Saccharomyces cerevisiae S288C: one gene and its partners. The gene in region 2 interacts genetically with the main gene of each other region. Each region holds a gene or a part of one and is shown on either strand. Other genes may lie near its edges.

Region 1 (8,111 bases), on a different chromosome or scaffold from region 2:
TTCCTTGGCATATTGAACGTACTTTCTTAAGAATGGGATGGTGACTAGCTTTGGAATTTCTGTACCGTTATAGTTACCTTTGTTTTTTGCTAACTTAGCACCTGCTTGTAATAAGGGGTTGAACTTTTCGAAGACATGGTCTTCATCATCTTCTCCTTCATTTTCTACACCAGCCCCGGAGTTGGAATGCTCTTCAGGATTTATATCTGCATCCTCCCCAACGGCTAATGATAAATTCAAACGCTCTCTCACAGGTTCACCCTCTAAATAACCTGGAGGCAAATATCTGTGTGTTCTTAAGACATGCTCACTAATGGATCTATCTCTGATTTCATTGATATCGTCTGTCACAACAAATAGTAAATCAAAACGAGACAACAGCGAGTCCGGTAGGGCAATGTTTTGGTGTGGATCTCTATTGACATCGTACTGCCCAAAAACGGGATTTGCGGCAGCAATAACACTACAACGAGCATTTAATGTTGTGTGAATACCTGCTTTGGCAATCGTCACCGTTTGTTGTTCCATTACTTCATGAATGGCGACTCTATCCACATCTGTCATCTTATCAAATTCATCAATACATACAACCCCGCGGTCAGCAAGAACCATGGCACCAGCCTCTAGTCTTCTTTCACCTGTTTCCCTATCAGTAGTGACCGCTGCGGTCAAACCGACACCGGAAGAACCTCTACCAGTAGTAGCAATTGCCAGTGATGCTGTATTCAACACAAACCTTAGCAATTGGGACTTGGCAGTGGATGGATCACCCACCATTAGGATATTGATGTCACCTCTTAAATGCGAGCCATTTTCTAAATTTTTCTCCACACCTCCCATGAGCATCAATAAAATGGCTTTCTTTATATGGTCATGTCCATAAATAGAAGGCGCTAAAGATTGAGACAAGATATCGAAAATGTCCTTTTTTTTGGATAGTTTATTGATATTTCTTATATCGAAATCTGTCAACATTTGTCTCGCAGCGACACCCGTGGATCTGGCGTGGAGAGGATACACCGTATTACCTAGGATCAGAGTTTTGAACCCGATCAATGTATTAGAGTTGGACTGGTTCATGCCACCAGCACCAAGCGACTTGAATACCCCGACAACGTTAACTCTGTCACCTGGCTTGGTCTTGTCCACAAGGTCGTCATCGAGAATGACGTCAATGGACCTGGGAAGTTGGCCAGCGGGGGCCATTTCGGGCATTTCTTGCACAGTGATACGCTGATGGTCTATGAACGTACTATACCCATATTCGGTGGTTAGTTTGTTACCTTCAGTGTCCTCCGTTGGATAGATGGCAGGCGTTGGGATGCGGGTGGTGAGAGTTGTAGTAGCATCTGTATAATCTCTGTAATGGAATCTACCAGTCTTTGCCGCGTAGTGGACAGATCTGATAAGCTTTGGCCTGACCAACGAAGTCTTAGTTACGATACCCTCAACAGAGACCAGTTTGTTTAAATGTTGTGCCGTTAGAGTACGAGGAGACAATGCGTGTGCACCAAATGAGCCTTTGAACGAAAGCTTCCAAGGATGGCGAGACGATACTGCAGAGGCATTGGGATGTGGAACATCGTCCATGGAATCTGCTAGGTCAGTAAGCGCCTTTTCGGCAGGCGGGATGAAGTATGCTGGTTCGACTAAAATGCCCGACCAGAACGACCTGTCGAATTCTCTCAAGTCATCAAGCGAGATGATAATCCTGTGAGGGAGTATATTCAATGAGGTGGACGATGCTGCTTTCTTTTCCTTTTCAAGATCATCACCGTCGTCATCACCTAGCAAATCTCGTTCGTCTGCGTCATCTTGATCATCGTTGTAGTTGGCCGCGTTATTGCTGTTGTAAACTTGTATGGACCTTACAGAGTCTCTGTATGAGGTGAAAGTATCTAAAAACTCTTGAAATCTGCGCACTCTGTCACCAAACACAGCGTCTGGAGCGAAAAAAGTAGTAGCGTCTCCATCAAATCCCGTTGAGCCTTCCATAATTGACGTTTGTATCTTTTTGGTGCGCTTATAGTGGAGTTCAATACGAGCAGTAGGATGAAAATGCTTCAAGGAAAAGAGCGTAGGCCTTTTCAACTTGAAAGAAGATTAAGAACCTATCTTTCGAGTTTTGACCAAATTTTTCTTTTTTTTCCTAAAACACGAGTTTTTACCCATTTAGGAAAAGTAATTGTTTCTTCTACCGCCTCGATCTGACGAACAAGGGAAATTGAAAAAAAAGAGAAAAATAACGACAACTGCAGGACTCGAACCTGCGCGGGCAAAGCCCAAAAGATTTCTAATCTTTCGCCTTAACCACTCGGCCAAGTTGCCATAACTCATTGAAAATTCTGTTTCCCACATAGGTCAAAACTAATATTTCCCTTGGCCTGCTCTTCAACCTCCCCCGTTCTGAGAGTTCCCTTTTTTTTTTTTTTTTTTTTTTTTTGAGGGGGAAGCGCCGGATTTGCCACCGACCGGCTGCTTGCAGCCGGTAGATATGCGCACATGAAAATCATCCTCCCCAATGAATTACACTGCCTGCATAAGGAAAAAGAAAAGTGTGAAATACGAATAAAAACAAAGTATATTATTGCTATATAGATGATAAATAACAAAATAAATAGAAAATAAAAAAAAGGATTTATTTGTGTATGCTTTAGGAGAACGAAAAAAAAATTGCAAAGAAAAAAACCCGGTTCAGCGAAGAGTACATGATGTGATGGAAGGGGCGTCGGAGTTTTTTTTTCTTTTTTCATTTATATCCCATGCCATGATGTTAACCGGTTTAATCGGTTCTAGCAGCTTCCTTGAAGGAGATGGCGGCTTCTTCACCCATAGCGGAGATGATGGTAACCATCAAGTCCTTACCTTCATCAAAAGCAGTTTGCAAACTGTCACCCAATTCACCTTCTGGAGCCTTGACATCATCCTTAGTGTCACCGTCCATGTTCATCAAAGACAAGAAACCGTCATCAATGTCCAACAATTGGTATTCGTTTCTCTTGACAACTGGAACTTCCATGTTGTGAGTAGATGGAGACAAATCTTCCAACTTCTTACCAGTGAAGATATCAATGGCAACCAAATGGACTTTAGCGTGACCGTGCTTACCAGTCTTAGAAGTGGACATGTCGACAATCTTACATGGTCTACTCTTGATGACAACGAAACCGTTCTTTCTCAAGGCAGAACATTGCATTGGGTAGGTGGCGGAGGAACCAGCGTCAGCAGTTTCAAAGGTATGTTCTTCGTCAGACATTGTATATATGAGTTGGTATTTGTGTGTGTTTGGGAGTCTATGAGTAATTGGCTACAGAAGTAGAATCGTTAGAAAGAAGGAAAGGAAGCAATTGATAGAAGGAGAGGAATTTAGGAAATGAGGGATTCCAATGTCAAGATATGGCAAAAACCTTGTGCATTATATAATCGTGGAACACGACGATCAACGCGGCCAAAAGCCGATCGACGACGACGACGAAAAAAATTTTTATTACCACTGTTCCTTCACCTTCGAAACTTTTTTTCGGGCGACGGCGTTTCTTTTAGCTCCTGCGGTATGTGCGGTGCGGGAGGTCCCTTGTCGCCTCACACGGACCCGATATAACGCTACGGAATACATCGAGGGGTATGGGTGGATGATATCACTGCAGCAAGGTCTGGGTGTTGCAGAATTTTACCGGCCTTGGCCCCTCAGCGTCCAGCTACAGCGTTATACTACTCCAAGTCGCCGTTCCCGTTTTGCTGTTCTCACCCCTCAGAGAAAATGCCACCAGAACGAAGCCAATGGTCAGGACTTATCGTTACTTATACTGTTGAGCCGGATATATCCGCTGTGCTCTAATACCAGCCAAACGAGAAGGGTAGCGGCAAGAAAGGGTAAACTTTCATGATGAAGTTAGCTAGTTCCTTTTACGATTGCTACTATCTCGTTCAACTTGGCCTGCGCTGTTGATGAAAATAGCAGTGACTGCAGAGAATAGAAATGAACCGGGCTCATCTGGTCTAGTTGCCTTCTTTTTTTTATTTTTTTTCATTTTCCTTTTCTTTTCTTTTCTTTTCTTGTCTCACTATGTTGGTTTAATCAATTCGTAATCCCTTTACCAACGCATTGTGTTCAATTTTCCTCTTGTGTGGGGTCGCCCGCCTTGTCTCATCGTGAAAAAATTGCGTAAGATGAAATCATGAAAACATGAAATAAAAAAAATAAATAAAAATAACTACACGATTCAAAAACGCCAAGATCTGTTAGTAGAGACAGCAAGCATTGCAAAACCATTCATCACTCAGTTGCTAGGCGAGTGTTGGTGCGATTTACCCTCATCATCTTTTTTTCGCTCCATTAAACAGTTCCTTGTGGCTTTCATGCAAAGTGTACGTCCATAATGAAGTATAATAACAGAAAACTCTCGTTCAACCCTACCACAGTAAGTATCGCTGGAACGTTGCTTACGGTGTTCTTTCTCACAAGACTCGTGCTTTCGTTCTTCTCGATATCGCTATTCCAGCTGGTAACTTTCCAAGGAATCTTCAAGCCCTATGTTCCAGATTTTAAAAATACTCCCAGCGTAGAGTTCTACGACCTACGAAATTACCAAGGCAACAAAGATGGTTGGCAACAGGGTGACCGCATCTTGTTTTGCGTGCCACTGAGAGATGCTTCTGAGCATCTTCCCATGTTTTTTAACCATCTGAATACCATGACATATCCGCACAACCTGATTGATCTGTCGTTTTTGGTGAGTGACTCTTCGGATAACACCATGGGCGTGTTACTATCCAATCTACAGATGGCGCAATCGCAACAAGACAAGTCCAAAAGGTTTGGTAACATCGAAATCTATGAGAAGGACTTCGGCCAAATCATTGGTCAGTCCTTTTCTGATCGTCACGGGTTTGGCGCCCAGGGCCCCAGAAGAAAGCTGATGGCCAGGGCTCGTAATTGGCTTGGGTCCGTGGCCCTGAAACCATACCACTCCTGGGTTTACTGGAGAGACGTGGATGTCGAAACCATCCCCACTACCATCATGGAGGATCTAATGCATCACGACAAGGACGTCATTGTCCCCAACGTCTGGAGACCTTTACCAGACTGGCTGGGAAACATTCAACCCTACGATTTAAATTCATGGAAGGAATCAGAAGGGGGTCTTCAATTGGCGGATTCCCTAGACGAAGATGCTGTCATTGTGGAAGGGTACCCAGAGTACGCCACTTGGAGACCTCACCTGGCATACATGAGAGACCCAAACGGTAATCCAGAAGACGAAATGGAATTGGACGGTATTGGAGGGGTCTCGATTCTCGCGAAAGCTAAAGTATTCAGAACAGGCTCACACTTTCCTGCATTCTCCTTTGAAAAGCACGCAGAGACAGAAGCATTCGGTAGGCTCTCCCGCAGGATGAATTACAATGTCATCGGCTTGCCCCATTATGTCATCTGGCACATCTACGAACCTTCCAGCGACGACTTAAAGCACATGGCTTGGATGGCTGAAGAGGAGAAGCGGAAACTAGAAGAAGAGAGAATTCGCGAATTTTACAACAAGATCTGGGAGATTGGATTTGAAGATGTCAGAGACCAATGGAACGAAGAAAGAGATTCAATCTTAAAAAACATTGACTCCACTTTGAACAATAAAGTCACTGTAGACTGGTCTGAAGAGGGAGATGGCTCGGAGCTGGTGGACTCAAAGGGTGACTTTGTCTCACCAAACAACCAACAACAACAACAACAGCAACAACAACAACAACAGCAGCAGCAGCAACAGCAACAGCAACAACAGCTCGACGGCAACCCGCAGGGGAAACCTCTTGATGACAACGACAAGAACAAGAAAAAACATCCTAAAGAAGTTCCATTAGACTTCGACCCTGATAGAAACTAGGCTCGGTTTTTTAGTGACCTACATATGAAGTACGAATTCATATAGTTGTACATATATACCGATAATAATATCAAACCTCTATTCTTTGGTCTTTAACTTTTCTTTGAGTGAATTACAATACCATTGTTATATCAATCACTATACACGGCTCGGTGGCGAAATTGAAATTTTTTTATTTTCTTCTCTTTCATTATGGCTAGGCAAGAAATAGCGACAGCAAAACTTAAGAAAAAATGATAGAACAAGGTCCCATCCAGTATTGACTAGTAGCTAAAGCTAGAAGGTACACTTAGGTTTTTCTCCCTGTTTTTAAGTTTGAACCATTGATAAGGCCGTTCGCAGACAAGCTTGCTACCATCCAATTTTCCTTCCTCTAAAGACTTAATAAAGGCATCTAACTCCACCTTTAAATCACAGATCACACAAAGACAACATACAATAGAAAAATGGTTAGCTTAACCTTTAAAAATTTCAAGAAGGAAAAAGTTCCTTTAGATCTGGAACCTTCAAACACAATTTTAGAGACCAAGACCAAGCTTGCTCAATCCATTTCTTGTGAAGAATCTCAAATAAAACTGATCTACTCGGGTAAAGTGCTACAAGATTCCAAAACCGTATCGGAATGCGGGCTAAAAGATGGGGACCAAGTTGTCTTCATGGTTTCTCAAAAAAAGTCCACGAAGACCAAAGTAACAGAACCTCCAATTGCTCCTGAGAGCGCCACTACCCCCGGAAGAGAAAATTCTACAGAAGCATCCCCCAGTACGGATGCTTCTGCAGCTCCTGCAGCCACTGCTCCCGAAGGCTCACAACCGCAAGAAGAACAAACCGCCACTACAGAACGTACTGAATCTGCCTCTACACCGGGATTCGTGGTGGGAACCGAGAGGAACGAGACCATCGAGAGAATCATGGAAATGGGCTACCAAAGAGAGGAAGTCGAACGAGCCTTGAGAGCAGCCTTTAATAATCCAGATAGAGCGGTGGAATATCTACTGATGGGTATTCCAGAAAATCTGCGTCAACCGGAACCACAGCAACAAACAGCCGCCGCAGCGGAACAACCATCGACAGCCGCCACCACTGCGGAACAACCGGCTGAAGACGACTTATTTGCACAAGCTGCCCAAGGCGGTAATGCTTCATCCGGTGCGCTTGGCACAACTGGAGGAGCTACAGATGCTGCGCAAGGTGGACCTCCAGGTTCCATTGGCCTCACTGTAGAAGATTTACTATCGTTGAGACAGGTCGTTTCAGGTAACCCAGAAGCTTTAGCCCCATTGTTGGAAAACATAAGTGCTAGATATCCTCAATTACGTGAACATATCATGGCAAACCCAGAAGTGTTTGTGTCCATGTTGCTAGAAGCCGTGGGTGACAATATGCAAGATGTTATGGAAGGTGCGGATGATATGGTGGAAGGAGAGGATATAGAAGTTACAGGAGAGGCTGCTGCTGCAGGACTGGGACAAGGTGAAGGTGAAGGTTCTTTCCAAGTTGACTATACCCCCGAAGACGATCAAGCTATTTCGCGCCTCTGTGAATTGGGCTTTGAAAGAGATCTTGTTATCCAGGTGTATTTTGCGTGCGATAAAAACGAAGAAGCTGCAGCAAATATTCTATTCAGCGATCATGCCGACTGAGATTGTAGTAATGTTATGGCTTGAAGTATCTTCACTTATTCTCGACAATGTTGCATGATTTTTGAGCCAAGGGAAAAAAAAAGCTTACGTAGAAATCAATAACGTATGTGTATTTATATATGCTAGAAGGGAAAGAAAAGAAAACAGAGAGATGGTAATATTAATCTCAATAATAATAATAATAATAATAATAACAATAATAATAATAATAACAACAACAAATAATGATTATACTGCTTTTAGCGCATATATACAGTTTTGTTAAAGAGTTTCAAAATTCTTGTATACCTGGTACTTTTGCCCATCGGGGACAGGTGCATTACCAGGTCGGGAAGCTAACCCAGTAGCTATTCCAACGCCGGCCGCTGCGTCCAATTCCAATGGATTATCGCTCAAGAACAGTACCTCGCTAGCCTTCGCACCGATATCCCGCAAGATGTTGGCGTAAGACTGTGTTTCGGTTTTCTTTCCAGAAGTGTTGATGTCGAAATAACCATCTATATAAGAATTCAAATCCAACGAATCATGCGCAGGCGCGTTGGGATCCTGAACATACCCGAACAGCAATTTCTGTGCCTTTACAGAT
Region 2 (10,016 bases):
AGAAAAAGTAAGCTCAGAAAAACCTCAATACAGCTCATTCTGGAAGAAAATCTATTATGAATATGTGGTCGTTGACAAATCAATCTTGGGTGTTTCTATTCTGGATTCATTTATGTACAACCAGGACTTGAAGCCCGTCGAAAAAGAAAGGCGGGTTTGGTCCTGGTACAATTATTGTTACTTCTGGCTTGCTGAATGTTTCAATATCAACACTTGGCAAATTGCAGCTACAGGTCTACAACTGGGTCTAAATTGGTGGCAGTGTTGGATAACAATTTGGATTGGGTACGGTTTCGTTGGTGCTTTTGTTGTTTTGGCCTCTAGAGTTGGATCTGCTTATCATTTGTCATTCCCTATATCATCTAGAGCATCATTCGGTATTTTCTTCTCTTTATGGCCCGTTATTAACAGAGTCGTCATGGCCATCGTTTGGTATAGTGTCCAAGCTTATATTGCGGCAACTCCCGTATCATTAATGCTGAAATCTATCTTTGGAAAAGATTTACAAGACAAAATCCCAGATCACTTTGGATCACCGAATGCTACTACTTACGAGTTCATGTGTTTTTTTATCTTTTGGGCTGCCAGTCTTCCATTTTTACTGGTTCCACCTCACAAAATTAGACACCTGTTTACTGTTAAAGCCGTCTTGGTTCCGTTTGCTTCTTTTGGTTTCTTAATTTGGGCTATCAGAAGAGCTCACGGGCGTATTGCCTTAGGATCTTTAACCGATGTACAACCTCATGGCTCTGCCTTTTCGTGGGCTTTTCTAAGATCACTAATGGGTTGTATGGCTAATTTCTCCACAATGGTAATCAACGCTCCAGATTTCTCTAGATTTTCAAAAAACCCTAACTCCGCTTTATGGTCCCAATTAGTGTGCATTCCATTTTTGTTTTCCATCACTTGTTTAATTGGAATTCTAGTCACCGCAGCTGGTTATGAAATATACGGTATTAATTACTGGTCGCCACTCGATGTGCTAGAAAAATTTTTACAGACTACTTATAATAAGGGCACAAGAGCTGGTGTTTTCTTAATCTCTTTTGTTTTCGCCGTAGCTCAGTTAGGTACTAATATTTCTGCAAACTCATTATCGTGTGGAACTGATATGTCCGCTATTTTCCCCAAGTTTATCAATATCAAGCGTGGTTCATTATTTTGTGCAGCCATGGCGCTGTGTATTTGTCCATGGAATTTAATGGCAACATCAAGTAAATTTACAATGGCTTTGTCCGCATATGCTATCTTTTTGTCCAGTATTGCCGGTGTTGTCTGCTCAGATTACTTTGTTGTTAGAAGAGGATATATCAAGCTAACACACATATATTCCCATCAAAAGGGCTCTTTTTATATGTACGGAAACAGGTTTGGTATCAATTGGAGAGCTTTGGCTGCATATCTATGTGGGGTGGCTCCTTGCTTGCCCGGTTTCATCGCGGAGGTGGGCGCTCCCGCTATAAAGGTTTCTGATGGAGCTATGAAACTATATTACCTAAGTTACTGGGTAGGATATGGCTTGAGTTTTTCTTCTTATACTGCTCTGTGTTACTTCTTCCCTGTACCTGGGTGCCCTGTTAACAACATTATAAAGGACAAGGGCTGGTTCCAAAGATGGGCCAATGTCGATGATTTTGAAGAAGAGTGGAAAGACACAATTGAGAGGGATGACCTGGTAGATGACAATATTAGTGTCTACGAACACGAACACGAAAAGACTTTCATTTAAGCTCTCCATATCTACATCACTTTCTGCATTAATCTGAAATATTTTTCAAATTTTCATGTGTAATGATATTAATCCTTATCTATACTACTTACTTCTATTTACGTTCTCTTTAGCATTTACTTTGTGCATTTGGCCTTCAATGAGCATTAATTTCACTGGTTTTAATATATTCACTCACTTTCATTCGATTTTTTGTTTGCTTTATGGCTTAGCGTTCTTTCCTCTCTCCTTTCTCTTTTTACACACGAGAAAAAATGGATAATTGTTGTATTATGCCATATGCATAACTTTACGATTCGTTATGCTATGCGAACTTGAAGCCCAGATTTCTACACGAAAAGTTTGAGTTTATTAGTATCTTCTCCAAGATAAATATAGCATCAAGTTACAGGTATGTCGAACATCACTTATGTCAAAGGTAACATCTTAAAACCAAAGTCATATGCTAGGATCCTCATCCATTCTTGCAACTGCAATGGCTCGTGGGGTGGTGGGATCGCTTATCAACTTGCTTTGCGCTACCCAAAAGCAGAGAAAGATTACGTTGAAGTATGCGAAAAGTATGGTTCTAATTTACTAGGCAAATGCATATTACTTCCCAGTTACGAAAACTCAGATCTGCTGATTTGTTGCTTGTTTACATCATCATTTGGAGGTTCAAGTCATGGAGAAAAGCAAAGTATTTTGAATTATACAAAACTTGCTTTAGATAAATTGAAGACCTTTAGAGAAGCAAAAGACAAAACTCGAACAAGTGAAGATTCAATCGGTGACTATTTAAACGGCCACATCAAATACCCAATAGGGGAATATAAATTGGAAATGCCACAGATAAATAGTGGCATATTCGGAGTCCCTTGGAAAGAGACAGAACGCGTGTTAGAAGAATTTAGTGGCGACATGAGTTTTACAGTATATCAGCTGTAATTGCCTTAGCCACGTAATATGTGCCTTTAAAGATAGAGAAATATTTATTTATTAAGTTTTAGTTCTAAGGTGTGTTAAAATACCTCTCAAATAAATAAGTTACACACAACCATATATCAACTTGTAAGTATCACAGTAAAAATATTTTCATACTGTCTATGCAACGAAGGAGTCACTTTCCTCCTTCCGATTGAGAATATCTTCCCTTTCAAATTCCCTCCATGTCCTCATTTTAATCTTTGAGTGATCAAATTCACCTTCATTCTCGTCTTGTGCCTTTTTATTACCTCCCGCAATAGTTCTCGTATCACCCCATGAGAAGTCATCAAATTTCCAGTACGCATATGAAGGTAGTACGAAATTCCAAATAGGCAAAGCACAAATATATACGCACATCCACCATAGGTACGACCATCTCGTAGCAGTTATAACAACAATTAAGCCGGGCAGACCAAGAATAATTGCCAGTAAAACTAAAGTGATTACGGGTGTAGGTTTTGATACAATGGCAAAAATAATGACATAAATAGTAAAGCAAATGGCTAACGGCAGTACCATAGTACCAATCAATTCAATACCAATCACAAATTGCATGGAAAAACAGAAAGTGCCACATAAGTCTCTGATTAGAACTAATTCAAAAAGGTTATGTACCGTAGAATTAATCCATCTTCGACGCTGGGAAAGTAAGACTTTGAATTTATCAGGGGCAATAGTTTTACAAGCAGCTTTTGGAACAAATACTTGCTTTCTCTTAGGGAAAGTCTTTAACATTAATGAAGATAAAAATCTATCTTCACCAAGTAATAATAAGTTCTTCTTATGCAAAGTGTTTGTAACATTATCCGAATATCTTTCAACAATATCTGGATTTGCCAATACAGGTACCCAATAACCATCTGAACCTTTAGGAGATTTTATACGATACATTGAGAAACATCCCGGCAAACAAGTTACCGAACCGAAGACAGATTCAAAAGCTTTAGCCTGATGATGCGAAATATAGTACTCAAACACTTGAATTGCAGTTACCCAAGATTGTGCCTTATTAGCGATCTTGGTCTCACCACAAAGACCCATAATCAAAGGATCTTTAACCATTTCAGCGACCATATGAGTTAAAGCATCGGGAAAGACTTTAGTATCAGCATCAACCATAAGTACCGTTTCGTAGAAGTCTGCCATTAGCCCCGTAATCTGCCAAATATTTTTTAAAAGCTGAAATTCCAATTGAGTCATTCTTTCATCAAATGTTATTTTTTCTAAAAAGGACATCAGAATAATTTGAGAATCACGCTTACCTCTGTTACCGGGTTTGGCGGCCCCCTGCTCTGCAGGAGTACCGCACTTCACAATTGTAATGATTGGGACACGTTGTTGATTTTCTGGTGGAATTGTAGAATCGTCATATTTGTAAAAACCCGCATATATCTTGGCCATATTGTGTCTTTTAGAGCCTGATGCCACTGCCACATAGGAGTAAGGTTTAACTTCATCAGGTGGGGTGACAAAGTCGTCCATCATTCCTAACGCTATCTCTGGAGTAGTCTTATCGTTGCCCGAGCCCTTAATTAAACCATCACAAACAACCATCAGTAGTTTATGGGAATTTGGATAATCTGTGGTAGAAAGAGAGTCTAAAGTGGTTCTTAAACCCTCTTCATCCTCAGAATAACAAGTAACAAAACAGATAGTATGAATCAATGGGAACCCGTATGGCATAAAATCCAGTGGTGGTTGTTGAACGATATCGGGATGTATAATCGTCGAATCAAGACTCTGAATCAGCGATGATCCTGGTACAGGAGAGGAAGTCGCTTTATTCCAAAACATCGAGGATGTAGGCAACAAAGTAGATGGATTACGGGAATGTACAGCTTTGTTTTCATTCGAGAGTTTCCAAGCATTTTGAGTGGTCATTGTTGTCATTCCTCTGTATGAACCAGAAGATTGTAGTGAACTGCTCATGGAGGTGTCTAGATCTATCACAGATTCGTTAAATTGAAACATTTTGGAGCTGTGTTTTTTCAGCAAGTCAAAGGTTGAAGCACGCTTGTGTCCCAACGACTTTTTTGAGTATTTCTTTGGCCTCAAATGAGGATCTACTTCCTTTAGAGGAGCTTTTGTTTGAATATTATTAGACCAATCCTCGATATCGTTTGTGTGTTTATCCATTGTTTTATTGTCCACGATATATGCACCTTGTTTCCTAGCTACAGTCCAACGGAAGTAGCAGGCAATTATGAATTTAATTATCACCACTGAAAGAATAAATACCAGAGAAACATACAAAACGACATCAGAGGCAATACAACCGACGGTTTTGGAGTCTACTTCACCAACTTTAATAATTTCGCTCAAACATCTCGCAATTTTTCTTTCATGCCCATTTGACAAAACCAACGAAAGATCATAACCTTGTAAATTTGAAGTCTTCAAGTCATCGAATACAACGGGATAGTCAACGTCATCCTTTTCCAACCAATCAAGAAGATCTAAATCCAAAACGTCGCCATTATAAACAATCAAGTTTCTAGAAGAGTTCTTTATACCATCCCAAGTGAAGTAAACATCAGCTTTCGACTTTAAACCGTAAAATGCGTCCCTATCTTCTTTAGACGTATGACAGTTCCATCCTGCGTAATTTTCAACTGTGAAGTTTGGCTTCGAAGAGCCATCTTGATTCTTTAACTTACAAGGAAAATACCATGCTAAATTATTATCATCGTCATGGGGAATGGAAGAATTACTCTTTGGAGTTATAAGGTTATGACAGTTACCATTCACATTTTGAAACAAGAACGAAGCATCTTTACCAGCATCTGACCAGGGCCCATAAAGGGTGTCTGAATCTACTTCAACGTCTTGTATACCGGAACGCGAGGAAGTATCCAATTCATAAGCCTTACCGTTAATTACGACAAATTCTGTTGATACTTCGTTGTTTTTCAAACGTAGTTTCGAACTACTACAAACGGTTTTAGTGAAACCAAAAGTCAGGAAAGCCACAATCGCACCAATGTACAAGATGACAGAAATTAAAGCAACCTTTTCTCTCCACGCCATTTGTCTTTCCTTCTTTGGCATCCCGCAGAAAGCAAGAATTGGAGCAGGTGCCCAAAACGTAATGAAATAACAGTACATCTGCCAAAATGACAATGTATCATTCGTTTCCTTTCTTAATGGTTTGATAGACTTATTTATGGGCTGCGTGGAGCTTTCTTCGAAATTGTCCACATCACCATCTTTATCAAATTCGTCTTCCGCAACACCTTCATCACTTATTTTAACGGAAGCCTTCTTGTCAGTAGTATTCATATCTTGTAAAAGATAGCTATCCGTTTCGCGGCCACTAAATTTGCTTCTCACTGAGCCTTTGGAGCGCAGGGAGCCACTCCGACGAGTTGCATTTGGGTTTACACCGGTACTTGATGGTAAAACATCCAGGTGATTCATCTGCTCCTGCGTTTTCTGCGCATAATAAAAATGTGGATTATCAGGATTGTTCAGTCGGCTTCTTTCGGGCCGCACTAAAGAGCCTTGTCTATGAGGTGCTCCTGAGCCGACACTGTGTCTTGACCTAAGTAGAGACTCTTCATCTTGATTAAGGTTCAGATAGTAGTCATCAGGATCATCTCCATTCAAGCCGGTCATTCTAATTTCTTTCCTGCGGATAGTCTAAACAGGACCTTTGAAGAAAATGGGACCTACACCAAAAATACTCGAGAACTTTGCAAATCGGTAAACGTTTATAACCGTCTACCAATGTGATTCTTCTAGCAGGATTTACTACAAGTCGAAATGTTGGTACTGAATGTAAATCTGAAACACAGGAAAGAATATTTTTGATTTCTATTTTTATGCTCTTATTTTCATTTTTGATTTTTTTTTTCGAGGTCTGCGCCAGCGCCAATAACGCGTTTTATCCAAATAGGCAGCCAAAGAGGGTCACCTATGCAGGTGCTGAATGCAATACAACTGCGGGCTAACTGTCCATCGACGCTATTGAATATGCTTCAAGAAATATCCAGTCTCATGCACATGTCAAATATGTGGGTGAGGGCGCAAATACAACGCACGATTATATATACATTTGTGGCTACGTAGTACGTGCGGAGATAGGCAGGTATTTGTTCAAGGATGTAAATAAGAACTACAATGCTTAGTTCTCGAATCCTAGAATGTGAGTAAATCTCACAAGCACCGCTTCTATAAATTTGTCTAGGGTAATTTGTAATCTTTTCCCATGCGGATTCTCTTAAATACGGTACAGCCGTCGCTGCTGCGGTGTGATTCTGGTTTCATAGATCTGGAAAAAGAAAGCGAGACACAATACAAGAGCTTTGTGACACAGCGTACGGAGAGAATAAGATAAAGAACAGTTCCTGGCGTTTTTAATTGAACTTTTGTACTCGTCTCTTTATTCTCACGAATTTTTTTACCGCCGTTTTCATTTCCATTGCAAAGGAGGGAAAATATAAATGTTTTTATAGAGGCAGTATATCTTTAATTTCATAGCATATGCAGTTTAGAAAAAAGACGTAAATTCGTTGCCCTAGTCACGCTGGTTACATAAATTGGTCGTTGAATTGACTTTTAAGACATCCAGTTGGTGTGTTTGCTCCAAATAGTGCTGACGCATCTTGCCAATTCTCGTCAATTTAGCACGGAATGCTTGTTACTTATTCGATAACGCTTTTACCTTGATTGCATGTAGTCACTATCCTCAAACCTTTTCTAAGGTTGCCCTATTGGCGACAGAAAAGCAGGACGAGAAATCTAAATAACCAACGTGTGGTTTATTAACTATGACGGTTGGTTTGCTTGCCGCCCCAAGTTATAGAAGACTGCCCTTCATCCCGGGGTAGCTATCATAGAATCTGTCGATAGTTACAATTTTGGGTGGGGTGTTTTCAAAAATGGACGGATATGCCGGTCTTTGAAACTTCGATGATGTAGCCTATTGTTTTAATTTTCTGCTTGATCCTTTCGCTCTTTTTAGGGATAAAAAAGAAAACCTAACAAAGTATGAATTTCGAGAAGTCCCATCGATAGTAGTCAAACAATTGCTAAAGAGGGCTACGGATCGTCTACAATACCTTCGTAAAACAGCAGCTTACAGGATCTTTTATAATATCACCATAGAAAGGGGAATTTGGGAAGCGAGAGTAAAATGTTGAATAGTTCAAGAAAATATGCTTGTCGTTCCCTATTCAGACAAGCGAACGTCTCAATAAAAGGACTCTTTTATAATGGAGGCGCATATCGAAGAGGGTTTTCAACGGGATGTTGTTTGAGGAGTGATAACAAGGAAAGCCCAAGTGCAAGACAACCACTAGATAGGCTACAACTAGGTGATGAAATCAATGAACCAGAGCCTATTAGAACCAGGTTTTTTCAATTTTCCAGATGGAAGGCCACCATTGCTCTATTGTTGCTAAGTGGTGGGACGTATGCCTATTTATCAAGAAAAAGACGCTTGCTAGAAACTGAAAAGGAAGCAGATGCTAACAGAGCTTACGGTTCAGTAGCACTTGGCGGTCCTTTCAATTTAACAGATTTTAATGGTAAGCCTTTCACTGAGGAGAATTTGAAGGGTAAGTTTTCCATTTTATACTTTGGATTCAGTCATTGCCCCGACATTTGTCCAGAAGAGCTTGACAGATTAACGTATTGGATTTCTGAATTAGATGATAAAGACCATATAAAGATACAGCCATTGTTTATCTCATGTGATCCTGCAAGAGATACACCGGATGTCTTGAAAGAGTACTTAAGCGATTTTCACCCAGCTATCATTGGTTTAACCGGTACGTACGACCAAGTGAAAAGCGTATGCAAAAAATACAAGGTATATTTTTCAACTCCACGTGATGTCAAGCCCAACCAGGATTACTTAGTGGACCATTCGATATTTTTCTATTTGATCGACCCTGAAGGACAGTTTATCGATGCGTTGGGAAGAAACTACGATGAGCAATCTGGTCTCGAAAAGATTCGTGAACAAATTCAGGCGTATGTGCCAAAGGAAGAACGGGAGCGTAGGTCAAAAAAATGGTACTCTTTTATCTTCAATTGAGCAAAAAAAAAAAGAAAAAGACACAGCTAGGATACCGAACTTATGGGTCGTTCAATTTAACAGTTACATTGTAAATAGAAAAAAATAGTAAAAAAAATGAAAGTCAAATGATTATGCTTGTCAGTTCAAATTATTAATTGGGCTTAAGGGCGTAAACATGCGGGAATAATAAACATACATACACACATACATAAAATCCGATGCCATCCACTCGCGAGATTGCTTTTTTCCTTTCGTTTCTCTTTCAAGAAAATCATGTTGAAAATTTCTATGATGATATATAGTAGGGAACTAAACCAAATAAAGAAAAGTCAACTTTAGTGCACGAAATCAATTCTTACCAGCACCAGCTCTGAAGTAAATGATATCACCGTCTTCAACGACATAGTCTTTACCCTTTTGCATCAACTTACCAGCGGCCTTGATGGCAGAATCGTCCTTATATTCGAAGACATCTTCACATTTCATAACTTGAGCCAAAATAAAGGTATTCATTAAATCGTTATGAATAACACCAGCAGCTTGTGGAGCTTTAGTACCTCTTCTGATGGTCCATTCACGAACTTCATCTGGACCGCAGGTGAAAAAGGAAATCAAATCTAACTTTTGTCTCATGGTAGTGATAATCTTTGGCAAGGCAGATATTGTCTGCAGTTTCTTCAATTCTTCTTCAGCATCTTCTGGGGACATATGAGATAGTCTTTCTTCTAGAGAAACACTGAATGGAATGATCAAGTCACCTGGAGAGTACTTGTCTACCCATTCCTTGATTCTTAGCAGATGCTTGTTTTTCTTTCTGATGTAATCTCTTTCAGATAAATTAATCAAATAGATACATGGCTTAGCAGTCAACAAGAACATGGAGTTGATAATTTCAACTTCTTTTGAAGTCCAGGAGTGATTAGCAACTCTTTGACCACTCTCTAGCAATTTAATGATTTTCGTAATCAAATCCATTTCTTCCTTCTTTTGTTTGACTTCCAAAGATTGACCACCTCTTTTGGCAATCTTTTCAGCACCTTCCAAAGCCTTTTGTGCGAATTCAATATCTTTCAATCTTAGTTCTTGGTTAATAATTTCTAAATCACGAACTGGATCAACGTCACCCTCAACGTGGATAATTTCAGCATCATCGAAACAACGAACGACTTGGTAGATAGAATCGACTGATCTGATGTGAGACAAGAAAGCATTACCCAAACCTTCACCAGCAGAGGCACCCTTAGTCAAACCAGCAATATCGTAAACGGTCAAATGAGCTGGAACTTCCGAAGCTGTCTT
Region 3 (7,883 bases), on a different chromosome or scaffold from region 2:
CCGAGCGATCCTGAATACGCTTTAAAATCACAAACTCTAAGAAGCTCGAGTCAGACCGTCATTAATAGTAAGAGACCAGTAAAGATAGAAGACGAGGAAGAAGCCGTAGGAATGTCACAGCTCAATTATAGGTCGTCATTAAGACAAGCTCCTCCAAGAGCTCCCTCAACTTTGTCATATAATCACTCGAAGAACAACGAAACGCCAATGCAAGATATTTTCACAAATGGCGAAACAGCAAATAACAGAAAGAAGAAGAGAGGATCTTTTGCAAGGCATAGAACGATACCAGGATCTGACGTCATGGCCCAATACCTTGCACAAGTGCAACATTCGACATTTATGTATGCAGCCAATATTTTGGGCGCCTCTGCGGAAGACAACACGCATCCTGACGAGTAGTATAGCTGTGCTGAGCCTGAAGTATAATGCATATCCATCGGACTATTTAGACAAAGCCCAAGGAAGCCTAAGGCGGCCTGCCAAGGTGTTTCTCCCTTTTTTTCTCCGATTTCTTTGTATAAACTAAATAATATAGTGATTACTAATGGAATGGCGGTATTATGCACCTAACCTGTTCATTCTGCCACAGATTACGTAAGCGATTTATTGCCGGCACTTGTTGTCTTAATGACCGAGTCACCAATGTGGAACGATAATTTTCTCTGACTCAAACCTGTTAATTTTTTTCTACTTCGTTTCGTTAGCGACGACGTCAAGCCGCAGGATCCTGTCTGCCTTGACCTCTTCTCTACCTTCAGAACTTACACTTTTCAGGTAAGATGACCTTTATATAAAAGTTGACACTATTACAGTTGTTTATAAACGTCTGAAGAATGAGACGTTTTTATAAAATGAATAAAATGCATATTCTAAGTTTAAAACAACATTTTCAAAGTGTACGATTGTAAAAAGAGAGGCAATTAGAGAATCTCAAACAGGTAATAATAATGGGCAATCAGTCATTAGTTGTGCTTACGGAAAGTAAGGGTGAGTATGAGAATGAGACAGAACTACCTGTTAAAAAATCGTCACGAGATAATAATATCGGAGAATCTTTAACAGCAACAGCTTTTACGCAGTCTGAAGATGAAATGGTAGATAGCAATCAGAAATGGCAGAACCCAAACTATTTTAAATATGCATGGCAAGAATATCTTTTTATATTCACATGCATGATAAGTCAGCTTCTAAATCAAGCAGGCACTACACAGACTCTTTCGATCATGAATATTCTTTCGGACAGTTTTGGCTCAGAAGGAAACTCAAAGTCATGGCTGATGGCATCTTTTCCGCTAGTTTCAGGCTCATTTATTTTGATTAGTGGCAGACTAGGTGACATATACGGATTAAAAAAAATGTTGTTAGTAGGATATGTTCTGGTTATTATATGGTCTTTGATTTGTGGGATTACCAAGTATTCTGGTAGCGATACTTTTTTTATTATTAGTAGAGCCTTCCAAGGGCTAGGGATTGCATTTGTTTTACCTAATGTGCTGGGAATAATTGGTAATATATATGTAGGTGGTACTTTTCGTAAAAACATCGTGATTAGTTTTGTTGGTGCGATGGCCCCTATTGGAGCAACTTTAGGTTGTCTTTTTGCAGGACTGATCGGTACCGAGGACCCAAAACAATGGCCATGGGCATTCTACGCGTATAGCATAGCCGCTTTCATTAATTTTGTGCTCTCCATATATGCCATTCCGAGTACTATACCAACAAATATTCATCATTTTTCTATGGATTGGATTGGTTCTGTTTTGGGCGTGATAGGTCTCATTTTATTAAATTTTGTGTGGAACCAAGCTCCTATATCGGGTTGGAACCAGGCTTACATCATCGTAATTTTAATCATTTCTGTGATTTTTCTTGTCGTTTTCATCATTTATGAGATTCGATTTGCCAAGACTCCACTATTGCCGCGCGCAGTTATAAAGGATCGTCATATGATTCAAATTATGCTGGCTTTATTCTTTGGATGGGGCTCTTTTGGCATCTTTACGTTTTATTATTTCCAATTTCAATTAAATATAAGGCAGTACACGGCATTATGGGCTGGTGGAACTTACTTTATGTTTTTAATTTGGGGTATTATTGCCGCCTTACTGGTAGGATTTACTATCAAGAATGTGTCTCCATCAGTGTTTTTGTTCTTTTCTATGGTAGCATTCAATGTGGGCTCAATAATGGCAAGTGTTACACCGGTTCACGAGACATACTTTCGTACTCAGTTAGGAACGATGATAATTTTAAGTTTTGGGATGGATCTTTCATTTCCTGCTTCTTCCATTATCTTTAGTGATAATTTACCGATGGAGTACCAAGGCATGGCTGGGTCATTGGTGAATACTGTTGTCAATTACTCCATGTCCTTGTGTCTCGGTATGGGTGCCACAGTAGAGACACAGGTCAATTCAGACGGAAAGCATCTTTTGAAAGGCTATAGAGGTGCTCAGTACCTTGGGATAGGATTGGCAAGTTTAGCATGCATGATTAGCGGGCTTTACATGGTCGAAAGCTTCATAAAAGGCCGCAGGGCAAGAGCTGCTGCAGAATACGATTGCACTGTGGCTTAGCGGAAAGCGGTTATTAAGGTAAATAGATAGAAATACACCGCTGTCATGCGATTATATAGACATGGGGCATTTAGACACTGAAAGTCTTCATATCTCAACATGCAACTAGTAATAGTACAATTTTTAGTACCCTTTAATCTTTATTGTTCGCTCCCTAATAACGAAGCCTTGAACTGTAACCAGATCCCAGGTTACCCCTTATCCTTAAGAGGTCTTTTATTTACTCTACATAATATATATTTTTCAATCCATTGAAGAGGATTAAAAGAAGAAAAATCAATACCGAACAAAAAAACAAAACGAAATAAAACAAAACAAAAAATTAAATTAAATTAAATTAATATTAAATGTCATCATGATTCTTACTCTGATTGTCTTCTCTTCTCTCTTTCCCTTGACGCAATTTCCTTCAAATCGTCATCGCTCGGTTCATAAATATGCCAAATAGTATAATGCGGTAAACCACCAACCCTGTACCCCATTTTCTTTGCCATTTTACCAAATGCTTCTGTTTCTGCATGATTTTCAAAAGTAAATGCAGGAAACTGTACCCCGTTTCTAAATATTTTGGCCTTCGCCAAAATAGAAACTCCCCCTACACCGTCCAAGTCCACCGCTTCATTTGGATCACCTTCTGCATCTCTGATATAGGCTAAGTGAACTCTCCACGTAGGATATTCTGCATAGCCTTCTACAATAACATCATCTTCGTCAAGAGTCTTTGCCAATGCTAGTGCCTCCTGAGATTCCATCCAAGAATTCAAATCATATGGTTGTTCAGTTCCCAAAAATGTAGGTAGTGGTCTCCAAACGTTAGGGACGATAACATCGTAGTTTTTGCTCATCAAATCTTGAATGACTGAACCAGGGCACAGCTCTACATCAGCATCTCTCCAATAAACCCATGAGTGGTAAGGTTTCAAAGCATTGGCAGTTAACCAATTTCTTGCCCTCCCCATTAGTTTTCGTCTTATACCTTGAACCTTAACGGCATGTCTGTCACTAAAACCTTGTCCAATTACTTGGCCAAAATCCTTTTGGAAAATTTGTACTGATCTAAATGGCTTGTCATAATTTTCATGGAATGGTGGTGAAAATGCCTGGTGGACACGGTTGATATAACCTTCGTCCATATATTTAAGATATAATTTATCGGTGCCTTTTGTTTGCGAATCAATGACAGCGTCAATCTCTTGAAAAATCTGAGACAACGTGCCATTTTGTAAGTGCCTAGAATACGCTATTAAAGCATCCAACGTAGTGTCACCTTCTGAGCAATCACTGACTAAAAAGGCCAGATCAATCAGCTCGTGTGGATAGGTTAGGTTCATTAAATGCTTGAACATTAATGGCAATACATCCGCAGCGTTTCTTAGTGGAATGCATAAAAGAATGTGATCACGTGTTTCCAATCCATTCGGAGCACCTTCAAAATTCGACAGGTCGTACTCCTCAACAGTGGAATCAAAAAGCATGTTGAGTTCCCTTTGGTATTTTTCATCATCCTTGGGAGTCAACACTTCTGAACCAAATTGTGATATTAGATAATGTTGCACACCATCATCAAATTTTGAAATCACTTCAGGATCGATATCCTCAAAATCATAGTCGTAATATTCTTCATCTTCTAGGTCGATAGTCTTGTAATTTTCGGAGGATTTTGAGGAACCCAACAACGACCTACCATTTTGCGTGGATACACCAATGCCCATTCCGGAGAGAAATGATATAAAGAGATATAACGACAGAACGGCGATAATAATAAGAGATGTGATACTCACCGTAAGCTGGAATTTAGACGGTGTGGAGCGCGGCTGGTACCTGTATTTGCCCTTTAATGAGTTGGAGTTATGCTCTGAGCGTTTGTCCTTGATGTTGTTCGAGCTACCGTTCCTTGAAATGGGCAGGCTTAGTCCATTGTCCATGGCTTTCTTCTTTATATTTGACCTTAAATTAAAAAACATGCCCATTTTTTTGTGTTAATTGGTAGGTCAACAAGCTCAAATGACTGTTACTGCACCCTTACGTCTACTTCTTTCACGTTACCATTTACTAATTTACAAGACGTAAACTTTCTTTGATTCTAAATATTTCAAGCCTTGTTTCGGTATAGTCGCCGAAGAACGAAAAAAAAAAAAAAAAAAAATTCCTCTCCGGAGATAAATTGAATACGTATTATTATATTAGGGACAAACACTGGTTCACTGAAAGCAGTTGTTTACATAGTTATATCGTGATCTGTGGCTATATCTGCAGGAGGAGATGTCGGGGCGTTTTCATTAGGCGTCGAATGAGGAGAGTGACTTGTAGTAGCATCGATATTGGTTGTGTTATGTGCTACAGGTGTAGTATTTGTAGTATCTTGCGCTGTCATTGTTGGCGGTTCCGATTCCGCGACCAGGTTCTCCGCAGGCATACTCGACATTTCATTCTCATCTTCACTGCTCCCTAAGATGCCAAATAAGTTTATGTCATCGTCCTCATCCTCGGCGTTTGTGTTGATAACTATGGTAGAGTTGTTTAATGCATTAGGGGTGGTCGTGTCGTCTGCAGCGTCCCTTGCGTGCTCGTTATTTAGTAGAAGCTCAAGATCATGGCCTTCATCTTGTTCCCTCTTTGTTCGTTGTGAAATAAGCTCTTCTTGCCGACGTTTTAGCGATTTTGCTCTTTCTTCCTTGGCCATTCGTATTTTTTCCTTCTTCAACTTCTGGACCTTAGGTAAATTGTGCATGAATAGTGTCATAGACTTACGAAATTGCAATTCTATGGTTTTTTGTATGGTTTTGTGAGACTGGTGAGGACTCTCTGGAAGGTAGAGAGTTTCAGAAATTTTCAAGAATGGATTTTTTGTTCTTTTCAACTGATTCACTTCAAATTTCGTGACACGTTCTCTCGCCAATTCCACTCTATACTTCGCATACTGCTCGATATTGTTTTCATTGAAGGACTTTTCAGTTATGGTTGGTTTCCTTTCTTCCAGCGCGTTGCCCCAAATCTCCAATTGTTGCTCGATAGCGTCCTCATCGTCTAAACCCGGCGGTTGCGGGGTATTTGACGCTGATGATATGTGGGAGAGACTTTTGTTCAAGTTCAATAGTGCCTTTTCAGACTCTTGGCTTTCTTTTACTATTTCTTTCTTGATGGTTTTTAGATCAGTAATTGGATGGTTGAACTCAGGTGTAAACTTATAGGTATGGTCAGGCGGAAAGTTGGGCAGCCAACTCGGTATCTGTTTTTCCAGTGGGTTAGAGGGAGGCAGCAAAACGTTGATCTCGTTCTGTTGCTCCTCGATATTATTCAATTCGTCCTCTTCATCTTCTTCGTTATGCGGTAAAGCAGCAAGAGACGACCAGCTCATCAATTTTTCATATTCCGTGGAATGCTTCGATTTGATGAATTCTGAGGCCTGAAACTGCTGATAAAGGGAGGGCGCATCCAGGTTAAACTCTCGAAGCAACAATTTCAAATCTGCTTGAGAAGCTTGCGACCTTCTTTGTAAAAGTGTTAAATTGTGCAGGTTCCGAAACATGCCGTCCATTTGGACGGTCACGAGGTTGACCAGCTCATCCAATGCAAAGTTTGAAATGCAGATGTTCAACGAATTCAACTGGAAAAGTACTGTTTTCTTTAGAATTTCAACTACGGGAGCATCTATTTCCAAGTGACTAATTTCCGTCAAATCCGGTAGGTTCCTCAGCTGAACTATGGTACTTTGGGTACCGGTACCACTTTCTGACGTTTTGGAAGTCATTGCCCTTTATGAGTCCCTCAATTACACGTTTGTTTGCTTGCTTGCCTCTCTCTCCATTGCTTTTACTCTCTTTTTTAAAGAGTTCAAGATTTTCTACATAAAAGCATCGGGTAACACTCCCATATACACCATTTGTGCTTAAGCTGGCTTCTACCAGTCGCGTTTCAAGCGACTTTATTGATCGCATCAGCGTAGAACAAGAACAGAACTATGTATGCAAACAGGACTAATCATCTTCAGTTATCTTACTTTAGTTTGCAACTATTTATATCATGTTTTCTTTTCAACTTCTTTTTTTTTTTTTCGTTTATGAAGCCGATGCTAATGCATCAATTTTTTTTTTTTGGTGATGAGTTTTGAAAGAAAATGAAAAAAAAAAAATTTCTATTATTGTCAGTGGAGTTTTTGAACAGATCACCTTGTGAATCTACAAACTGTCCTAAAGTATATTGGAGCAGGACATTGGGTGATGGCGAAAACTTTGGCACAAGGAAGGAAACCTGGAAGCGGCAGAAAGCCCGGAAAAGGGAAGACGTTGAGAGAGGGAAGAAAGCCTGGCAGTGGTAGGAGGAGGAGGCAAGATACTGGGGGTAAAGAGACCGACGGGTCTCAGCAAGATCAGGAGTCGCGTCTTATTAGTTCCAGGGACATGGAAGCTGTGGACGCACTGAGAGAGTTGACGCACAGCCCGTCGTCTCACTCAGCTCATAATTCATCAGCAGCACCACCGCCGCATGCAGCAGCGGCGTCAACTTCATTGCCTCCATCTCTGGATTATACCCATCAGTCATTCATGGATCAACAACAACAACAGCAGCAGCAGCAGCAGCAACAACTACTACAGCAACAGAGAGTGGACGTCGTTCCGCCCAAGCCGTTCATCACCCACAAGATCCTGTTATCTTCAACGGGAAACTCTGGCGGCCACGTGAATTCAAATTACAACGCCGACCACAGCATTAATCATAATTCAAACCACAACCTTAACAGCAACGTGAACGTGAACATGAACTTTACTATAAATGGGAGCAATCAAGACCCGTCATCTTCTTTCCTGATGGGGCCCTACAACTACTTACAGCGGCCTTTCATTGTGAAACCATATCTTGATCTGTCCACAAGCACAGCAGCATCAAATCAGCCACGGACGCAACCATCGCCGGCAGCACATATCACTAAGAATTCCGATTCTACAGAGAAAAACGCAACCATATGACATTCATTTCCAGCATACCACTAAAACATTCGTATATGCCACATAATAACTAGTTGAGAAAACCATAGATATTTATATTTATATGTATTTGTACTTCTTTGAGCAATGTATATTTAAGACTGATCTCAACTTCAGCAACTGTTCAAATTCACTGTTTTTCCTAATTAAGCACAACATGAAAAACTAGAATTTTAGAAAGAAAAGGAAAAAGAATACCAGATGGTAGTTAATTTCTCACAAAAGCACTGCCAGGTAAAGGTATACAGCAAGGATGGACTCTCTTGAAGCTAGATTACAATTCATTCAGGTCCTGAAGAACCTGCAAAAGACGCTGCAC
Region 4 (3,818 bases), on a different chromosome or scaffold from region 2:
AATTAAGCAGCACAAGTGTCTGGCGCAATGCCTGACTACTGGGAAAAGTCGAAGCATTTGCACGGCGTCCATTACGATGGTTAAGGCAGTTTACGACGAATTGCGGAGTCAAGTTTTAATATTTATAGATAGCCCTGTCACCAGTATCGGGTGTTGTTTCTACCCAAGCGCCTGCCAGCCTCAAACAATACAACAGGTATTGTTTTTGGACAGCGGAATGCTGCGATGCAACAGTATCGCAGCATGGTACTGCTTTCCTCTAGTCTTTTGTCGAATGTGAGCAAGCAGCAGCTGAGACTCTGCCCAACCATCGTTAGCCAATCAGCGTCGAGAACGGGTCCCATGCCCGGCCGCGGCCCGTTTCGAGAAGATTTTTAAGTGCGATCCATCCTCCCGATCTTTTTATCTACAAGAACCATCGCAAAGAACAGAGTGATCTGCAAGAAGAAGAACTACAAAGATCAAAAAGTCTCATCTCACCATGTCTGTGTCTGCTGCTCCTGCTATTCCACAGTACTCTGTCTCTGACTACATGAAATTCGCCCTAGCCGGCGCCATAGGGTGCGGGTCGACTCACTCCAGTATGGTCCCGATCGATGTCGTTAAGACGAGAATCCAACTGGAACCTACCGTGTACAACAAGGGTATGGTCGGCTCTTTCAAGCAAATCATCGCCGGAGAAGGTGCTGGTGCGTTGTTGACCGGGTTTGGTCCTACTTTGTTGGGTTACTCTATCCAAGGTGCCTTCAAGTTCGGTGGTTACGAAGTGTTCAAGAAGTTCTTCATTGACAACTTGGGTTACGATACCGCCTCTCGCTACAAGAACTCTGTTTACATGGGTTCTGCTGCCATGGCCGAATTCTTGGCAGACATTGCCTTGTGTCCCCTAGAAGCCACTAGAATCAGATTGGTCTCCCAACCACAGTTCGCTAATGGACTCGTCGGAGGGTTTTCCAGAATTTTGAAAGAAGAAGGTATCGGCTCTTTCTACAGTGGGTTCACTCCAATTTTGTTCAAGCAAATTCCTTACAACATTGCTAAATTCTTGGTCTTTGAACGTGCCTCCGAGTTCTACTACGGGTTCGCCGGTCCAAAAGAAAAATTGTCCTCTACTTCCACTACTTTGTTGAATTTGCTTTCCGGTTTGACTGCTGGTTTGGCCGCTGCCATTGTTTCCCAGCCAGCAGACACTCTGTTGTCCAAGGTCAACAAGACTAAGAAGGCTCCTGGCCAATCCACAGTCGGTTTGTTGGCTCAGTTGGCCAAACAGTTAGGATTTTTCGGTTCCTTTGCTGGGTTGCCTACTCGTTTGGTCATGGTTGGTACCTTGACCTCCTTGCAATTTGGTATTTATGGTTCTTTAAAGAGCACTTTGGGTTGCCCACCAACCATTGAAATTGGTGGTGGTGGTCATTAGAAATGGTCTTGATTGATACATGCATATATATTCTCTCCTCATCACCACCGGAGCCCCTTTTTTTTTTCATATTCTAAGAAAGAGTCAACAAAGGAAAGAAATAAATAAATCTGTTTAAATGTACTCTATTCAATCACTAGTATTCTTATTCCATGTATTTACTGACTTTGCAAAAGTCCAAATATCTGTAAATTAACATGCTATTATAAATATATATATATATATATATTTGAATTTTCTATTTTTTCATCTACAAAAGCAGGTTATAGCTCCGTTAAACCCTTTGCTCATTGAATTGTCCTTCACGGTTTTTTGGTGGAAAACACAACATGGAACATAACATTTAAACATCGTTCTCAATCCATTTCATCGCAGTAACATATTTGGTCGGGCACATACGGACACGTATATGTTATACAGATAAATATAGCTTAAATATGGCTATATTTACACAACACAATGCTCGTGGGTCGTTACCCGACCATGCAGGATCGCCAGTATTCTTTATTTTTCCGCCTTCTAACATAAAGAAAAATAAACAAAAAAGTATTTGATCGAAAAGTAAAATAGGTAGACACCACGTATTGGCGACCCGATCTGGAGCCGTTTAGAAAGTCAATCATCACAAGGCCTAAAGTTGCTAACCACCAGCCATGTCCGGAATAATTGACGCATCTTCTGCATTAAGAAAAAGAAAGCATTTGAAAAGAGGTATAACCTTCACTGTGATGATCGTGGGCCAGTCCGGATCTGGTAGATCGACTTTTATAAATACTTTGTGCGGTCAGCAAGTTGTAGACACTTCGACGACAATCTTGTTACCCACAGATACGTCCACAGAAATAGACTTACAATTGAGAGAGGAGACGGTCGAATTAGAAGATGATGAAGGTGTCAAGATTCAACTTAATATCATCGATACTCCGGGATTCGGTGATTCTCTCGACAATTCTCCATCTTTCGAAATCATTTCCGACTACATTCGCCACCAATATGATGAAATCTTATTGGAAGAAAGTCGTGTGAGAAGAAACCCAAGATTTAAGGACGGCAGAGTTCATTGTTGTCTTTACTTAATCAACCCAACTGGCCACGGTTTAAAAGAGATTGATGTGGAATTCATCAGACAGTTGGGATCCTTAGTTAACATCATCCCTGTGATCAGCAAATCAGATTCCTTGACAAGAGATGAACTGAAACTGAATAAAAAATTGATCATGGAGGATATCGACAGATGGAACTTGCCAATTTATAATTTCCCTTTCGATGAAGATGAAATATCAGACGAAGATTACGAAACCAATATGTACCTACGTACACTTCTACCTTTTGCTATTATTGGATCCAATGAAGTTTACGAAATGGGCGGCGATGTTGGGACAATTCGTGGCAGAAAGTATCCATGGGGCATACTGGACGTGGAAGATTCATCGATCTCTGATTTTGTTATCTTAAGGAATGCGTTATTGATCTCTCATTTACATGACTTGAAAAACTACACACATGAGATATTATATGAAAGATATAGAACCGAGGCATTATCAGGTGAATCTGTCGCGGCAGAATCCATACGTCCAAATCTGACAAAATTGAATGGTTCGTCGTCATCGTCCACCACAACAAGGAGAAACACAAATCCCTTCAAGCAAAGTAATAATATTAATAACGATGTTCTCAACCCAGCATCCGATATGCACGGGCAAAGCACTGGCGAAAATAACGAAACCTACATGACACGTGAGGAGCAAATACGGTTAGAAGAAGAGCGACTAAAGGCATTTGAGGAGAGAGTTCAGCAAGAACTGCTGTTGAAAAGACAAGAACTGTTGCAAAGAGAAAAGGAATTAAGAGAAATTGAAGCCAGGTTGGAAAAAGAGGCGAAAATCAAACAGGAAGAATGAGTCCGCTTTTGGCTTCCTCACTTATTTCTTCTTTCTCTATATATATAAAGAGTGAGTGTTGTATATAAGTAAATACATCTGGTATATTATTTTTTTTTTTTCTTCATTCTTAAAAAGTATTAATATCGATCAGCAAAAAAAAATTAACAAAAAAGTTCCTTATTATATCTGCGTAGAAGTACTTATTTCTGCTCCACCTTTGGAGTATTTTTCCAAAATTGTGATGCCAAATGAGTAATGAAATAGAATTTCTTGTGTGGATCGTCATTATCGATTTGGTTTGGACAGTTAAAGGAGAATTTTGGAAAGACCAGAACATCACTTAGCAATTTTGGTTGATTTAGGTTATGGAATAATTTCCATGTAACCTTCTCCCTGACACCACTTCTCATAAAGTCATTGAAATACGTGAAAATAGTGTCAGTCCACAACCCAGAACCCGTCCAACTCATAATATTCAGATCATTCCTTAGATTGACGTTTAGTTGGTCGTCCCTCTT

What was found.
Region 1: mutations in CHS3 (region 2) and ANP1 together harm fitness more than expected from each alone (negative genetic interaction), as found in Saccharomyces cerevisiae (4 studies listed by BioGRID, with this or other methods).
Region 3: mutations in CHS3 (region 2) and VAN1 impair growth when combined (synthetic growth defect), as found in Saccharomyces cerevisiae (4 studies listed by BioGRID, with this or other methods).
Region 4: mutations in CHS3 (region 2) and CDC11 together harm fitness more than expected from each alone (negative genetic interaction), as found in Saccharomyces cerevisiae (4 studies listed by BioGRID, with this or other methods).

The regions. Positions count from the first base shown.
Region 1 is NC_001137.3:80,821-88,931, reverse strand, and holds ANP1 (Anp1p), read left to right. Parts: upstream 1-4,379; coding exon 4,380-5,882; downstream 5,883-8,111. Other genes in the region: MCM DNA helicase complex subunit MCM3, read right to left, coding at 1-1,995; MTC7 (Mtc7p), read right to left, coding at 2,334-2,753; HYP2 (translation elongation factor eIF-5A), read right to left, coding at 2,783-3,256; UTR5 (Utr5p), read left to right, coding at 3,387-3,887; RAD23 (Rad23p), read left to right, coding at 6,329-7,525; putative acireductone synthase UTR4, read right to left, coding at 7,787-8,111. UniProt on the Saccharomyces cerevisiae protein: Involved in the organization of the secretory pathway. Required to maintain a functional Golgi apparatus.
Region 2 is NC_001134.8:281,616-291,631, forward strand, and holds CHS3 (chitin synthase CHS3), read right to left. Parts: upstream 6,311-10,016; coding exon 2,813-6,310; downstream 1-2,812. Other genes in the region: FUR4 (uracil permease), read left to right, coding at 1-1,729; POA1 (ADP-ribose 1''-phosphate phosphatase), read left to right, coding at 2,123-2,656; putative thioredoxin peroxidase SCO2, read left to right, coding at 7,830-8,735; OLA1 (Obg-like ATPase), read right to left, coding at 9,066-10,016. UniProt on the Saccharomyces cerevisiae protein: Polymerizes chitin, a structural polymer of the cell wall and septum, by transferring the sugar moiety of UDP-GlcNAc to the non-reducing end of the growing chitin polymer.
Region 3 is NC_001145.3:37,246-45,128, forward strand, and holds VAN1 (Van1p), read right to left. Parts: upstream 4,550-7,883; coding exon 2,942-4,549; downstream 1-2,941. Other genes in the region: NAB6 (Nab6p), read left to right, coding at 1-402; ATR1 (borate transporter), read left to right, coding at 951-2,579; TAF8 (Taf8p), read right to left, coding at 4,798-6,330; DAT1 (Dat1p), read left to right, coding at 6,800-7,546; CTK3 (Ctk3p), read left to right, coding at 7,818-7,883. UniProt on the Saccharomyces cerevisiae protein: Involved in regulation of the phosphorylation of a number of proteins, some of which appear to be important in cell growth control.
Region 4 is NC_001142.9:574,854-578,671, reverse strand, and holds CDC11 (septin CDC11), read left to right. Parts: upstream 1-2,070; coding exon 2,071-3,318; downstream 3,319-3,818. Other genes in the region: MIR1 (Mir1p), read left to right, coding at 482-1,417; HOC1 (alpha-1,6-mannosyltransferase), read right to left, coding at 3,501-3,818. UniProt on the Saccharomyces cerevisiae protein: Septins are GTPases involved in cytokinesis that assemble early in the cell cycle as a patch at the incipient bud site and form a ring approximate 15 minutes before bud emergence, which transforms into an hour-glass shaped collar of cortical filaments that spans both sides of the mother-bud neck.